Linked DNA regions of Arabidopsis thaliana. The protein of the gene in region 1 interacts with the protein of each later gene in a pairwise test. Each region holds a gene or a part of one and is shown in the gene's direction. Other genes may lie near its edges.

What was found.
Region 2: the proteins of AT3G58380 (region 1) and AT4G29930 interact in a two-hybrid assay, tested with the Arabidopsis thaliana proteins (one large-scale study listed by BioGRID).

What each region holds. Positions count from the first base shown.
Region 1 is NC_003074.8:21,595,931-21,602,741, reverse strand, and holds AT3G58380 (TRAF-like family protein), read left to right. Parts: upstream 1-3,133; 5' UTR 3,134-3,300; intron 3,301-3,527; 5' UTR 3,528-3,546; coding exon 3,547-3,653; intron 3,654-3,729; coding exon 3,730-3,890; intron 3,891-3,986; coding exon 3,987-4,228; intron 4,229-4,363; coding exon 4,364-4,777; 3' UTR 4,778-4,943; downstream 4,944-6,811. Other genes in the region: AT3G58400 (TRAF-like family protein), read left to right, coding at 1-75; AT3G58390 (Eukaryotic release factor 1 (eRF1) family protein), read left to right, coding at 1,525-2,712; AT3G58370 (TRAF-like family protein), read left to right, coding at 5,626-5,735, 5,832-5,992, 6,148-6,320, 6,399-6,458, 6,564-6,811.
Region 2 is NC_003075.7:14,641,158-14,649,259, forward strand, and holds AT4G29930 (basic helix-loop-helix (bHLH) DNA-binding superfamily protein), read left to right. Parts: upstream 1-2,836; 5' UTR 2,837-2,950; coding exon 2,951-3,030; intron 3,031-3,152; coding exon 3,153-3,318; intron 3,319-3,702; coding exon 3,703-3,960; coding exon of another isoform or gene 3,961-4,011; exon of another isoform or gene 4,012-4,060; coding exon 4,061-4,348; 3' UTR 4,349-6,202; downstream 6,203-8,102. Other genes in the region: PRHA (pathogenesis related homeodomain protein A), read right to left, coding at 7,189-7,443, 7,598-7,678, 7,836-7,916, 8,078-8,102.

The sequences.
Region 1 (6,811 bases):
GAAGCGCTAGTGGAGGAAGAGAAAGCCAAGGTGTCGGCTGCAAAAGCTCATCTCTCATTCGATGATGTTGTTTGATGTTCTTGTGTTTTTAGGACACTTGGAGGTTGGTTCTGCTTAGTGTGCTGGTCTGTTCGTTTATAGGTTCGTAATGATAGTCTTCTTAAAACTTAAGGAAGATAAAAGAGACATATCTTGGAAATTTTCAACAATGTTTTCAAGAGGAAGTTCTAGGTTTCTTCTAGAAAATATTGAGTTTCTTGCTGTTAAAGTAATGTGTTTTGAGAGTGACAAGACTAATCACCATAAAACAAGTGGACAAATATTTTAAGTTTCTTGACTAATCTCACATTCTCGCTCTCATATCCAAAAACATGGCTCTTTTGTTGAGTAAGTGGGAAATCACTAAGCTTGGATCATAACTTCCATTTTTCTCTACCGTCATGAGATTTAAGGCTTGAATAGTGGTGCTGCAAAAACATGAGGAAGGATTTGAGAAAAGGAGATGGAGTGAAAGTGAAGGATCAAGTGAGAAACAGAGTAGTACTCTATTTTCGATTGTGCTAAACCATTATGTTTCTCCTCCATTTTTCTCTTTTTATGTCTATTTTTATATTAACCTTATCAAGATAATAAGTAGCCGCTTCTAATCTCATACAAACTACCGAAAAAGATTTAGGAAATGATGATGATTAATATCCATTCAAATTGTGTCATATCTTCCAATGATTTCGAAAGATATCCTAAGAACAACAAGAAGTGAGCAAAATAGTAAGAACAACATGTGAGCAGCACGTGATTTTGATTAATTTACGTCAAAAATTAAGAAAAGGAAATTAGACCATCTTTATCAATCGACTCTTACATAGAATTATAAACAATTTTGATATATACAAAATAATGTTTAAATATTAAAAAGGCTAGAGAGAATGTATCTAAAAACTTTTAGCTAAGAGCCATTTTTCATCTCTTAAGTATACTTTTTTTTAATTTTTTTATTCTTATTTTGTTTAATATAATATTTTAATAGTTCTTATGATATTGTTAACAACCTATGGATAAGGATGCTCTAATGAAATAAAGAAACTATGTAGAATTAGATATTGCACTAACTTGATTTTATTGATTCACAAAGTATAATATTTATACAAGAGAGACATCGTATAAGATATACTCTAGTCCCTAAAATATAGGACATAATCAGAAGATATATAGGAATAATCCTAATGAGATTAATCTCTATCCCCAATACTTAACAATGTAGAAAAGGAAAATACGTTTCCTAGTTTTCCTAGACGACTTATGTAAGCTTTATAGCTAGCTATAAATATGTATATCTCAGGAGATCAAGTCTATTTCTTCAGATCAATAACAGCTTAATTTAAGCAAAAGTTTACTTTAAGTTTTTATTTTTTCTTCTCTTCTTGTCAGAGCGATTGATTGTTCTTCATTCCCTACCACAATTTCCGATCGACAGTTTATTCTTCAGATTCTGTTAGTGGAAAATACCTTCAAAAATCCTGAAAGATGAAAATCATTCGCAAGGATTTTGTTCGTAATGGACCCGGAAGCGTTAAGATGATGGCAGAGGACTCGGATGATCTCTGGTATACTTATAACCTGATTGGCCCGGAGGATAGTGTAATGGCTATCACTTTCAGAAAAGTTGGTGGTGAAGGAAGAGACTCGACTCCATCGCTAAGTCGAATAGAAAGCAAATACCTTGGAAAGAAAAGATCTTTCACCCGGACTGAACGTGTTAAACTTAAGCTAGAAGTACAAGTTGAGGAGGTGGACTATGACAAAGACGGCGATGTTATGCGCATACGCGGGAAGAATATCATGGAGAACGAGCATGTAAGGATTGGTGCATTCCATACTTTGGAGATTGAGCTTAAACGACCTTTTTTATTGAGAAAGGAAAATTGGGACTCACTGGCTCTTGATACACTCAAGCAGGCCTCAGATCTTGCAGCTAGTGCTGATTTAGCTGTAGTTCTAATGCAAGAAGGACTGGCACAAATCTTCCTTGCCGGCAAAAGTGTAAAAAGTTGCGGTGCACGAATAAAAACATCGATTCCTTGGAAGCATGGAGCTGGAACGGCTGGTTACGAGTCAGTTTTGAAGAAATTCTTTGAGAATGTTGTGCAAGCCTTTCTGAAACACGTTGACTTCAGTGTGGTTCGATGCGCAGTGATTGCAAGTCCCGGGTTTACAAAAGATCAGTTTCATCGCCACCTATTGTTGGAAGCAGAGAGAAGACAGTTGAGACCTATTCTTGAGAACAAATCACGTTTCATTCTGGTGCACACAAACTCAGGATATAAACATAGCCTAAGCGAGGTTTTGCATGACCCTAACGTGATGAATATGATCAAAGATACTAAAGCAGCAAAAGAGGTCAAAGCTCTCAACGATTTCTTCACCATGTTTTCGAATGATCCAAATAGAGCATGTTATGGACCAAAACATGTGGAAGTTGCTCATGAACGAATGGCAATCCAAACACTTCTCATTATAGATGGGCTATTTAGGAACTCTGACGTGAAAACAAGGAAGAAGTATGTGGATTTTGTGGAGTCGGTGAAAGATTCAGGAGGAGAGGTTTTTATATTTTCGTCAATGCATGCTTCAGGGGAACAACTAGCACAGCATACTGGAATTGCAGCTATTCTTAGGTTCCCTTTACCAGATCTAGAAGACATTGAGATGTAACATAGTATTTCTAAGAAAATCTTTTAGGTTCTTTTATTCACTTCTGCTCTAATATTTAGTTACTTGTTTTGTAAGGGTATGACTTGAACAAATTGTTGCAAGATTATATATATAAAAGCGTCAGTTATCTTCATTAAATTAAACAAATATTTCCTAAGTTTACTGTAAAAATCTGTATCCTTTACTAAAAAAAAAAAAATCAAAAAAGAAATTGGCAACCCCTTTTGAAAACGTTTGGCATCCTGTTCCTCTCTTTAACACAAAAGGACCTAAAAAGCCTTGGAAGGTCTATTCACCAAGAAAAAAGGAAACAGAATCTCAAGTCCAAGTTTCTTTCCTTATTGGAAAAGTCAATTCCAAAGAAGGGATTTTAGTTTCTTTCCTTATTGGAATTGGATATCTCCCTTTTTTTGGTTTAGAGGATTAATGTTATAAAAATGGTTGAATCTCGTTTTTGAACTATTCGATCCAAGTAATTTGGTTTTTGGATTGGGTTCGTAGCTCTGACAAACTTGGACTAACTTGGACAAAGTGGGTACGAGTTCTGACTTCTGAGTCGCTGTTTCTCTTTCAACTCGCCTCTCAAGGGTAATCGCTTTATTCCCTTAATCTTGCATGTCTTAGAATATTTCTTTTCCTCAACTACGGTCAACTAGTTTTAAGTAGTTTAAACTGCTGGCTGAAACTTCATATGTCTTTGAGTTCATAGTAAAATCTTTGTTAAACTAAGAAAGAATTTGTTGGAGAGTGTGTGTGTTTGATACTTTGATTGGTAGGTACATGAATTTGGTTTAATTCTCTTCATGCTGTTGTAGTTTCATTGCGAGTAATATAATGGAGAAGGAAGTTGACAAGAAATTTGTCTGGGTGATAAAGGATCTCAACGTTTTTTATCCTAAGCAGAGTCATTCTGATCCCTTTCTGATTGCTGGCAGTAGATGGTAAAAACTGAACCAACTTTTGTTCCAAACGTACTTTTCATCTAATTATGTTCTGGTGATTTGATTTTTTTTGTAGGCGTCTTCTAGCCTTACCAAAGGGAACTAACTATGAGTTCTTCTATCAATACATGGGGGTTGCTGATTCTTGTCAATCACTGACTTCTTCATGGAGAAGACATGTAAAACTTCGCTTAACTATAGTAAATGGAATTTCTCATAAACGCTCCATTGTGACAGGTTATTCTTCTATTTATACTTTTTGCAAAATGAGTGACTGATTTAGATTAGTTTTAATGTGATATTGATGTTTTAATACTTGTGGTGATGCTACAGATTCAGACCTATACTTTGATGAGAATCTTCCCGCTTGTAGTTATCCAACAGTACCACCCCCTTTCAACCTTCTTGCAAGAGATGCAGGGTTTCTGATTTGCCGAGAAATAACAATTGTTATTGAGGTTGTTTCTCTTGAAGTTATTGGCACATCAAATAATGATGGTGCCAACTCTATTGATTTACTCAAACAGACTCAACAAATCATTGATGTCAATGGGTTTCAAGTTCTTCCTTCACAGGTAAGAAACTTAAGATTAATGCGAGTATACTTCTTTGTGGTTTTCTGTATTTAAATACTCTGATGTACAAAATGTTTCTGTATGTATTCAGGGCTTCTAAAGCTTTTATGATATTTTTTTCTTCTTCTTTCACAGGTAGAATCTGTGAAGCGTATATTTGAAATATACCCAAACATTGCATCAGAAGTCCCTTCAATGAAACCATGTCTGAAGACATTATACATGAATGTACTCCTCGGAATAATTGAAACGCTGTGCCAACTGCCTGCGGAGCTCTCTGATACTGATCTGGATGAAGCATCCATTGCAGTTTTATTCGTGTCACAAGGTGGCTTTAAAGTGGATTGGTTGGAGAAGAAGCTCAAGGAAGTAAAGGAAAAGAAGAAGAATGTGGATAATGGTAAGGCTCGGCTGCAACAAATAGAGGAAGATTTGCAGAAACTCAATCAGAAACGCTTAGACCTGAAAGATATTCTAGACAAGGAGAAAGCAAATGACTTGACCGCTAATGTTCCTCTCTCGTTCAATGATGTTCTTAAGATGTTTTAGACAAGGCTTTGAAAAACTGCCCTCTGATAAGGCAGAGACATTTTGTGGAGATCCTCTATAGGTTGATGTCTTGAGTTCTTTCTTAGGCATTTTGTGCTAAAGCATTGTGCGCTTGAAGTGTTTTTTTTTTAAATTACTTTAACCAACATTAAATTTAGAAAAGTTTAAGATGTGTTTTCTAGAAGAAATCAATAAATCAAAGCAGAACATAGAAGAAGTAGTTAATCCCTTGAAAATGAAATATATGCAATCCCTTGAATATAGGAGCTAAACTGTATCAAGTAACTACCCTTGATCATATCCAAACTAAAGTGTGTTTAAATTATACAATCTAAATTTTTGAATATGGAAATTTTGGAAACTGAGTAACAAGAGAGACAGAGTATCCCTGGTAAATCACCATGGTTGGGGAAACTATTGATTATTTATAGTATGCATTAAATTATATACAACATTAGTTACTCTAGTTTTCAAGTCATGTTTCCTAAGCCATATAAAAGTGATTCACTTTCCTAATAAAATTTGATTTGCATTCATGTAAGCGTTCAGAGTCTGAAACCCTTTTTTCCCTTAGTCTCCGTTGACTGTTGTCTTAGAACAACCCTTTTCATTGTCTCTTCTCATTAAGGTAGAGTTTAGTTTTTTTTAAAGCGTTTGGTTCGACCTTGACGTCTTTATGTGGAAGCTAAGATTACTAGCGTTGAGGATATCATGTCAGTTAGAGTCCATAGTGGAATTTTAGGTTTTGGTTTTTATTTTGTTACTCGAGATGTGTTTCCTTTGGTATATAACATGAATTTGGGTGTGTGGCATTGTTTTAAAGGTAGTTTGGTTGTGAGGAGTCTTTAATGGAGAGTGAAGAAGTTGATAACAAGTTCACTTGGGTGATTAAGAATTTCTCCACTTTGCAATATGACAAAATTTATTCTGATCCATTTGTGATTGGTGGCTGCAAATGGTACTTAAGAAACTAAAACTTTTTTTCTAACTGTATTAGTCCAATTTAGGTTTACGAGGACATCCACTTTTTTTTGCAACTGCTTTTTGTTTGCAGGCATCTTCTGGCCTATCCAAAGGGAAATAAATTTAATAATAGTTTGTCTCTGTATCTGGTGGTTGATGATGCTAGAGCATTGCCTTGTGGATGGAGAAGATATGCACAATTCTCCTTAACTATAATAAATCAACTTACGGACAAACTCTCCCAACGAGGAGATAATTCTTTATTTCTAAACTTTATATTATAAAGGATATTTTATGATTCTACAACTTGTCATGGACACTCATGTGGCTTTGTGCTGCTGCAAGATTCTTGTTATGCATTGTGCAATTTTATTGCTTGTTTGGATTAGAGTTTCTATATATTTCGTGAACAGAGAAACAAAATTGGTTTAATCAAAGAAATCTTGGCTCGGGTTTTACATCTATGATCCCTCTTCCCAACCTTCATGCCAAAAATGCTGGGTATCTTGTGAACGGAGAAGTCAAGATTGTTGTGGAGATAAATGATCTTGAAGTTATTGGCAAGTTAGATGTATCAGAAGAATCTGAAGAGACAAACCAACCTCTGAAAAAGATAAAGCTAGATGATAATGATGCAGTGTCTTTTGATTCTCTCAACGAGACTTCACCAGTAAAGGAAAGCATTGATGTCAATGGGTTTCAAGTTCTTCCTTCACAGGTAAGAAACACAAGATTAGAATATGTCATAGTAATATAGTATGTATTCATGTCTCTAAAAACTTCTATGACATATAGTTTATGCATCTTCAAATTTGACTGGCAGGTAGAATCTGTGAAGTGTATATTTGAAAGACATCCAGACTTTGCATCAAAATTCCGTCCAAAGAATCGGCACTTGAAGTCAACATACATGACTGTCCTCCTAGGACTAATTAAGACGTTGTGCCAGTTACCTGAGGAGCTCACTGACGATGATCTGGACGAAGCATCCGTTGCAGTGTCATACGTGGAAAATGGTGGCTTAAGATTGGATTGGTTGGAGAAGAAGCTTGCGGAAGTTAAGGCAAAGAA
Region 2 (8,102 bases), on another chromosome or scaffold:
CTTCCATCACAAGACAAATAAATAACTCAATACGTCGCAAGTGATTCTTTATATTCCTAACTGTCGACTAGAAAGAAAATAAATATCATAGTTCTTTGACAAAAAAAAAAGAAAATATCATAGTTACTTTACTCCAAAATTATAGCCTATGACTAGACTTGATTGGCCATAGAAAATACTTACATATTATGTTATGATGGAATTTCTTCAGTAGCTATTCAATTCTTGTTAGGATACGACGCTATATTATGATGGAGTTTCTTCATTATTTACATGTTATATTATGATAGATAGAACAAGAAACAAAAATAAAAAGCTTCTATGTAATTAATTATGGAAACTTTCTTTGGTAATTTTTGTTTGGACGTTGTAAATTACTTTGCTGTTTTTTATTTTATTTTTTTTTGTATATGTTGCGTTTTCGTTTATTGTTGATTTATATATTCATCTAAACGTGCTTCCAGTTTTAAATAAATTTATTTTGTATTTGTAAACTTAAAAGGCCACATGGAAAATTTTCAAAACTTTACATAAATGACTGAAATTACAATTTACACCATTTTTCTTCACACACTTAAGAAGAGTCAAGACTAAATTTTGGAACATTCAAACGGGCTAAACCATTAAGCATCTTTGTCTGGGCCGAACTCAAAATATATCTCTGTTCAATCCGTGCCTTCAGCCCAACATGTGTTTTTTCAGCCCAATAAGTTTCTTGCATGTTTTGAAATAAATAATGAATTTTAGTCGAATTACTTTCTCTCATATCGGCATATTTTGTTCATTTTGTTTGATGAATGGGTTTAAGTCGTCGAAGTTGGTTAACCGATATCGTAACGTAAGATTGAACCGGAGTTTCAATACTCGTTACATTTTTTCGTATTCTAGCTAACGTGAACGGATGTTGTTTATACAGCTTTCTACTACAAAAGTAGATTTCAAAATTGAACTGCGATTTTCTTCTTACTCTTCTAGAAACACTTCCTCATATTTAATAAGAAACGAAAGAATTAGACTCCGACAATATTGGGAATGTTTAGTTGTCATTTGGACCCAATATAATCAATTCCATACATTTGCAATTGCAAGGTGGGTGAGTCATCAAAATTTATGAATCTTCCAAAGATTATAGATAGAACAGCTTTTAATTAGCCTAATAAACAAAAGGAAATACGATTATGCATACAAAATAAATTAAATATTAAGACTTTTAATGAATTCTTAACCAAAACCATATCAAGTCATATCATACACTATCCTCCATACACGTGGTAGCATACATAAGTACGTTAAATAATTTTATTTAGCAAATAATTTTATTATAATCATCTTTGATCACCAAGATCATGTTGGGCCATCCAAGCCACGACTTTAGTAATGTGAAAACAATATCATAAGGAACGAAACACTGTTCATTTCATACAATTAAAATACAACTTTTTCCTACACATTTTCTCAAGAGTTTAGTAAGTGAGAGACGAATGATTTGAGAAAACAGTTTTTACTTTTTTCGATTTGTTTCTCAAACTCAGTATTTTCGGATTTCTAATCCAGATTAAAAGTTCTGAATAAAATCACGGGGTATGGAGCAAAGCCGATATAAGTAAAAACCTTTCCATATTGATAGACACTAGATTTTTTTTTAGTTCATAAGATAGATACTAGATTTAGTTTGAGTATAATGGATTAATGTGGAACTAGTTGTATTGTTTAGTATGTGTATGTTGTATGATTTAGTGACCGTCTTCAGTTTTCTTGATGTCTTTCCACGTTTTACAAATTCTTGAAAGAACTGAGAACTCAAATGTATGATACATAACCATTGAAAAAAATATTTCCACCATCATAAATAGAGTTTTACGAATCGTTTCACAACTTTTAATTCAGTTGACACCATTAAATAATCAATATTTCTTTAGTTACAATTCAGTAGAATAAAATTGCATATGCTATATTATCTAATTCTATGAATATTTTCTGTCTATGATATTTGATTTTTATATACTTTAGATTTTGGATCACCCCCACATTATTTCGCTTTTCAGTCACATTTTGTGTTTAATATTGCTAGATAAGTCCGTGGTTATAGCTTACTTTGTTAAAATCATATATCTCAACTTATTTCATAACAGTATCTAAAGAAGATGGAATTTTATAAATATATAGACACTCAAAAATCAGAAGAAAATATATATCCACAAATAATAGAAGAAAACATAGATTTACTGCATTCAAATCAAGGGACATGAAAGAATATCCTGGACCCAAGTGGGTTATATTTTCAATAAAATTTAGCAAAAAAAGTTGACAATCAACTAATCATCACCATTATTGGCCATAATCATTACGTACGCATACACATAGCCACGATGTCTACCTATGTTTAAATCTTTGAATTCTGAAACTACGTATCTTTTATTTTTGTTTAAAAAAAACCTAGTACGTATCTTCTTTCCTTACTTAGACATCATCTTCTAACTTTAAGGATCGAAATTAGAAGAAAAACAAATGATTAATATCTACAAGAACAGAATTTTGCATTTATACTCAGATACTCTTCTAGTACCTCACAAAAATAAAATGAAATTGGAATTGAACACGCCCTAAATTCAAGTACTATACGGTCTATACCCATTTGAGTATATGAATAATGCATATTGTGAGTGAAAGAGATAGATACGATACACTCTTTTCTTTGTTTTTCAATTGGACAAAAGGAAACAGATTTTGATCTCTGAATTGAACGGTCAAGATCGTATATAATTATTTCAGGAGATTAAGATCCCACGTGCTTAAAAACTCTCTGTCAGACTCTTTATGTATAAAATCCTCGGCCCACTCTTGTTTTGATAGTACACTCAATAGAAAGACACAAAGAAAGAAAGAAAGGACAAACAGAAATAACAAAACCTTCCATTTCAAGAAAGCATCATCTTTGTGTGTCCGAAAAATGGAAGATCTCGACCATGAGTACAAGAATTACTGGGAAACCACAATGTTCTTCCAGAATCAAGAACTCGAATTTGACAGGTGCTTACTAGAATCTTGGTCCATTTTTTTTTTTTTTGTTTCTTTAGTTTTTTTTTCCGATAAAGATTAATCTTGCTTTAGTTGGTAATTAATGAAAATTGTTATAAATTATAAAATTTAAGTTGGCCGATGGAGGAAGCGTTTTCGGGTTCCGGCGAGTCGAGTTCGCCAGACGGAGCGGCAACGTCGCCGGCTTCTTCGAAGAACGTTGTCTCCGAGAGAAACAGACGGCAAAAGCTTAATCAGAGACTTTTTGCTCTCCGGTCAGTTGTTCCCAATATAAGCAAGGTATGATTAATTATTCCATTACTTCTCTTATTTGTTTAATCAACTGTCTCTTTTAAATTTAATTTGTTATCCAAATAATTTAGTAATAAAGTTTCGTCACCAGCAATTTTTGTTTTGGTCAACAGAAATTAAATAAGCGAATAAACTTTCTCTTCTTTCTTTTGTAAAGAAATAAAACTATACAAATACAATCTGGTTAAACCAAATCCAACCAACATTAAACAAATAAGCAAACCAAATTTTTGATACTCTAAATCCATATCAAGCCATACTAAAATGTATTTTGGTCCCCTAATTACCCTGATAGCATATAATTGTATACGTGTGATGATTTGTTGATTAAGACTGGATTTTATTGAAGTATTAATATTTATCTATTTTTAGTTGGACAAGGCATCTGTCATCAAAGATTCTATCGACTATATGCAAGAACTTATTGATCAAGAGAAGACTCTAGAAGCAGAGATCAGAGAGCTAGAATCACGGTCAACATTGCTAGAAAATCCGGTAAGAGATTACGATTGCAATTTTGCGGAAACTCATCTGCAAGATTTCTCAGACAATAATGACATGAGATCAAAAAAGTTTAAGCAGATGGATTACAGTACTAGAGTACAACACTACCCCATTGAAGTTCTCGAAGTACGTACTATGCATTATTTGGCAGTACATTCTAAATTACCTTTCTTTTGAGGTAAAGTTAATTATTCCAAATTGTTTTTATATAAACATGAAAAAACAGATGAAAGTGACATGGATGGGAGAGAAGACGGTAGTGGTATGCATAACATGTAGCAAGAAAAGAGAGACAATGGTGCAGCTTTGTAAAGTGTTGGAGTCTTTGAATCTCAACATTCTCACTACTAACTTCTCTTCCTTCACCTCTCGTCTCTCCACCACCCTCTTCCTCCAGGTCACTCTCTCCCTCTCTCCCTCTCTCATATCTTTATTTGGCAATGTGATTACTAGTACAAACTACAAAATTCTAAATGCATCTAGAGAATACTGTACGTGTCTTGTTTTGGTTTGACGCTCATTTTGCACTCATGGAGCGAAATTATAAAATGTTAATGGAAAGAGATGATAATATAGTTTAGAAGATTCTTGCTAATAAAGAATGTTAGATCAATTGTAATCAGCTATAAAATTAGTTTTATGCACTTGTCGGACTATAAAACACACCAACCAAATATATTTGTCCATTTTTAATTTGTCGCAACTATTCAGACTTTTATATACCAAATTCAAATCTTACTATTTTCTTTTCTTTTTGGTTATTTTGGGAGAAAAATGGTCGTCTGACGGCACGTAGACAAATCCTTTAGTGGACAAGAATTAATAATATGAATAAAAAGCATATGACTAAGTGCTTTAGTAAAGTGGATTGTTCTTTTGTTTTGGTAAAGAAAATATGTTATCTTTACGTAATAGTACAAAAATGTAATTCAAACTTACGAATTGTTTGGAAAATCACTATCAAATTCAAAAGGATAACCTTTAGACGGACCCATTTAATTACTACTTTTCTCCCACCTGTCTCCATTAAGTGGACCTTAATTCACATTACACCTTAAGTATATATAGTCAGTAATATCTTAATCAATCAATTAAAGCTCCAATTATTGAGGTTGCCTCGAGCCCATCACATTTTTTTCGAATTTCGCCTTGACTTTTTCTGATAGGGTTAGATTCTCTCAAAAGTTAAATGTCATATTCCATAAAAAATTAGGATTAACTTAATCAAAAAATTAGTGTGTGAAATCTCAAGTGCCTCGTGTCCCAGAAAGTGCCGTCCAAGCATAGTAGCACTAGAAAAACGTGGCTAATTTATAACCTCACGCGGTTCAACGTTTGTCTCTTTCACACTTTTAGCACGTGACTTTTCTAGCACTACACCTTATATCAATTCTTAACTCAAATTAACAATAGGCTACAAATCAACTGTAGCCAATTAGCAAGTTATTTGTGTTAACTAGTTGTATATGGTTCATAAGGTCTTCATTATGCTAATCATTTTGGTAAAAATTAGTTACTCCAAATGATATCCATAGCAGTTCATGGTAGAAATTAAGGTTTGGTCCTTTTTAATATAAGCAGATTTGTTAAGAGTTATTATTTTGTGTTTTTACTCTAAAAAATACAAATTCATTTCATTATCTCTATCTATTTGATTTGTTTATCATCATCATATACTAGGACTTTGGTGTAAACAATCTAATTACAAAAATGCTAGTTTCGTGAACTAACGTTCTATTTTTTTTGAAAAAGGTAATTATATTATAAGCTGTAGGTTGGAAATTTTTGATGACAACAAATACGAGTATTTCTTGCCTCACAAATGAATATAATATTATGTTGGTTTTCTTTGACAAAAAAGAATTATGCACCTTTATAACATTTTCTTGATAAAAGATAATATAATCAGACGCTAAAATTACAGTGAGGTATAGACCAGTGGAGTCATTGAGAGTTGGTGAAATCATACTCCAATCATTTATCAAATAAAAAGTCGATCATTTCATTTCAAACCTGTCCTTATCCGTCCTTTTAAAGATTATACAAAAACATTAAACAATGATTTATCCACCAATCTCATTTTCCACGGGAAATAATTATAGTAGTAATGCGTGCAGGTGTATATACACAAATTTATCAGTTCTAATTTTCTTTTTACGTGCTGCCAAAAAAAAAGAAGTTTTTTTTGTCTGATTCGTGTAAAACCTAAACACCCCTAATTTTAATAATCTATACTGACGTTGGACTTCCTAGAATCCTAATTTACTTCAAAATTCTGTAAAGATATCGTATGATTGAAATAATATAGGACTGTTTTAGTTTATATTGTGATAGATGTATTAATTATAGTAAATCGTTGAATTTGCAGGCGGATGAAGAAGAAAGCAGTGCAGTAGAGGCCAAGATACAGATGGCCATCGCAGCTTATAATGATCCAAATTGTCTTATCAACTTCTAATTTACTTCTGGTTTTTTACTTAAATCCGTTTTATGCAATATATGTGAAGAGCTACTATTGTGAGGGTTTATTTGTTTGAGCTACAAAACATCCGATGTTTTCTAATAAAATAAAACAAAAATATGCATGTTCCTTCTTATAATCTTAAAAATTATACTTCTAAAAAAATCATTTGAATTAATTGCAATCATAACCGAGTATAAGAAGAAAAAAACATAAAGAAATATGGTTAAACTAAAAAAGCAAATATGACTTTATAAAAGATTTTGTGGATACTTTGTCTTTGAATTGATGAACATGAATCAAATGCATATTGTAAGTTGCAAAATAGAGAGACTTGCCATTTGTTTCAATTTGATCTGTAAAGTTAGGCAACAAATGTTTAGTAAACTCATAAAAGTGACAGTAGGCTTTGTTAAGGAGTTATGTTCAGATAATTGCAGATTTGTAAACAATTTATTCTTACCGCTATATACACTCGGTCTAAAAGCTTTCTCTATAACCATCATCTTTCTATGATTATTACTTGGTTGAAACTAAAAATATAGTTGCCAATCTTACTCTATCTGTAAGAACCTAAATCTTTCAGCTTTATTATTTTTTAAACTAAAATTAAAAGCCAAAGTTATTTGGAAAAAGGGAATTAAAAAAAAAAAGAGAATAAAAAACGAAATGTACATAATTCAAAAAAGAGAGCTAAAAAGTTCCATTAAAAAAAAAATCCCAGTTTTATTTTTTTCTGGGGGATTTTATCTGAAGTTTAAATGACACATACAAACTGAATAATACACAAAACTACATTAGGTACTCTCTTAGACTACGTTCCAAAAGAATCTAACAATACCAAAACTTCTGCAAAGGACTTTTTTCTTTTCTTGATATATATATATATATTGTTACCTTTTCTCCTTGATCTCTGCTATTGGAACATACACTACTGAGTCTTCTTCAAGTAAAGGAGAAGAAGAATTGCCTAACTTTTTTCGGCCTTTTGGTGTTTTAAATCTATCAAGCCTCTGCGTCACGTCCAGTAACTTGTTTTCTGTTCTACAAAGCATCTCCATTACTGCTTCCAATTCTTCCTCTTCCGTCATCTTTCTCCCCGTCTCCTTCTCTTCTAAGCTCATTTCGTTGCTTAGCTCTTCATGTGACTGAACACAATAAGAACAAATAAACTTTAAAAATCTACAATTGTCTAAAACCACTTGTCAAACCAAATTCATGGAAGCGATACTTGATCATGGTTTCTTTAATATAGATATGTTCAATAAACTCATTTTGGCGAACCAGCTAATTTCATTTTACCTCTTCCGTCATCTTGCTCCCTGTCTCCTTCTCCTCTACCGCTGTACTTAAGCTCATTTCGCTGTTTAGCTCATCATGTGGCTGAACATAATAAGAAAAATAACTTTTAAAATCTGAAATTGTTTAGAATCACTGGTCAAGGCAAGTTCATGGAAGCAGTACTTAACCATGGTTGTTAAATATCAGATATATATGTTCTATCAACTTATTTTGGCAAATCGGCTAATTCATATCTTACCTCTTCCATCATCTTGCTCTCTGTCTCCTTCTCCTCTACAGCCGTCTTTAAGCTCATTTCTCTGCTTAGCTCTTCATGTGGCTGAACACAATAAGAAAAAAATTATTTAAAAAATTTAAAACTGTTTAAAACCACTGGTCAAGAGCTCAAGGCAAGTTCATGGAAGCAGTACTTAATCATGGTTTTTAGTAATAGATATGTTCAATGAACTCATTTGGCGAAACGGCTCATTTGTATCTTACCTCTTCTATCATCTTGCTCTCTGTC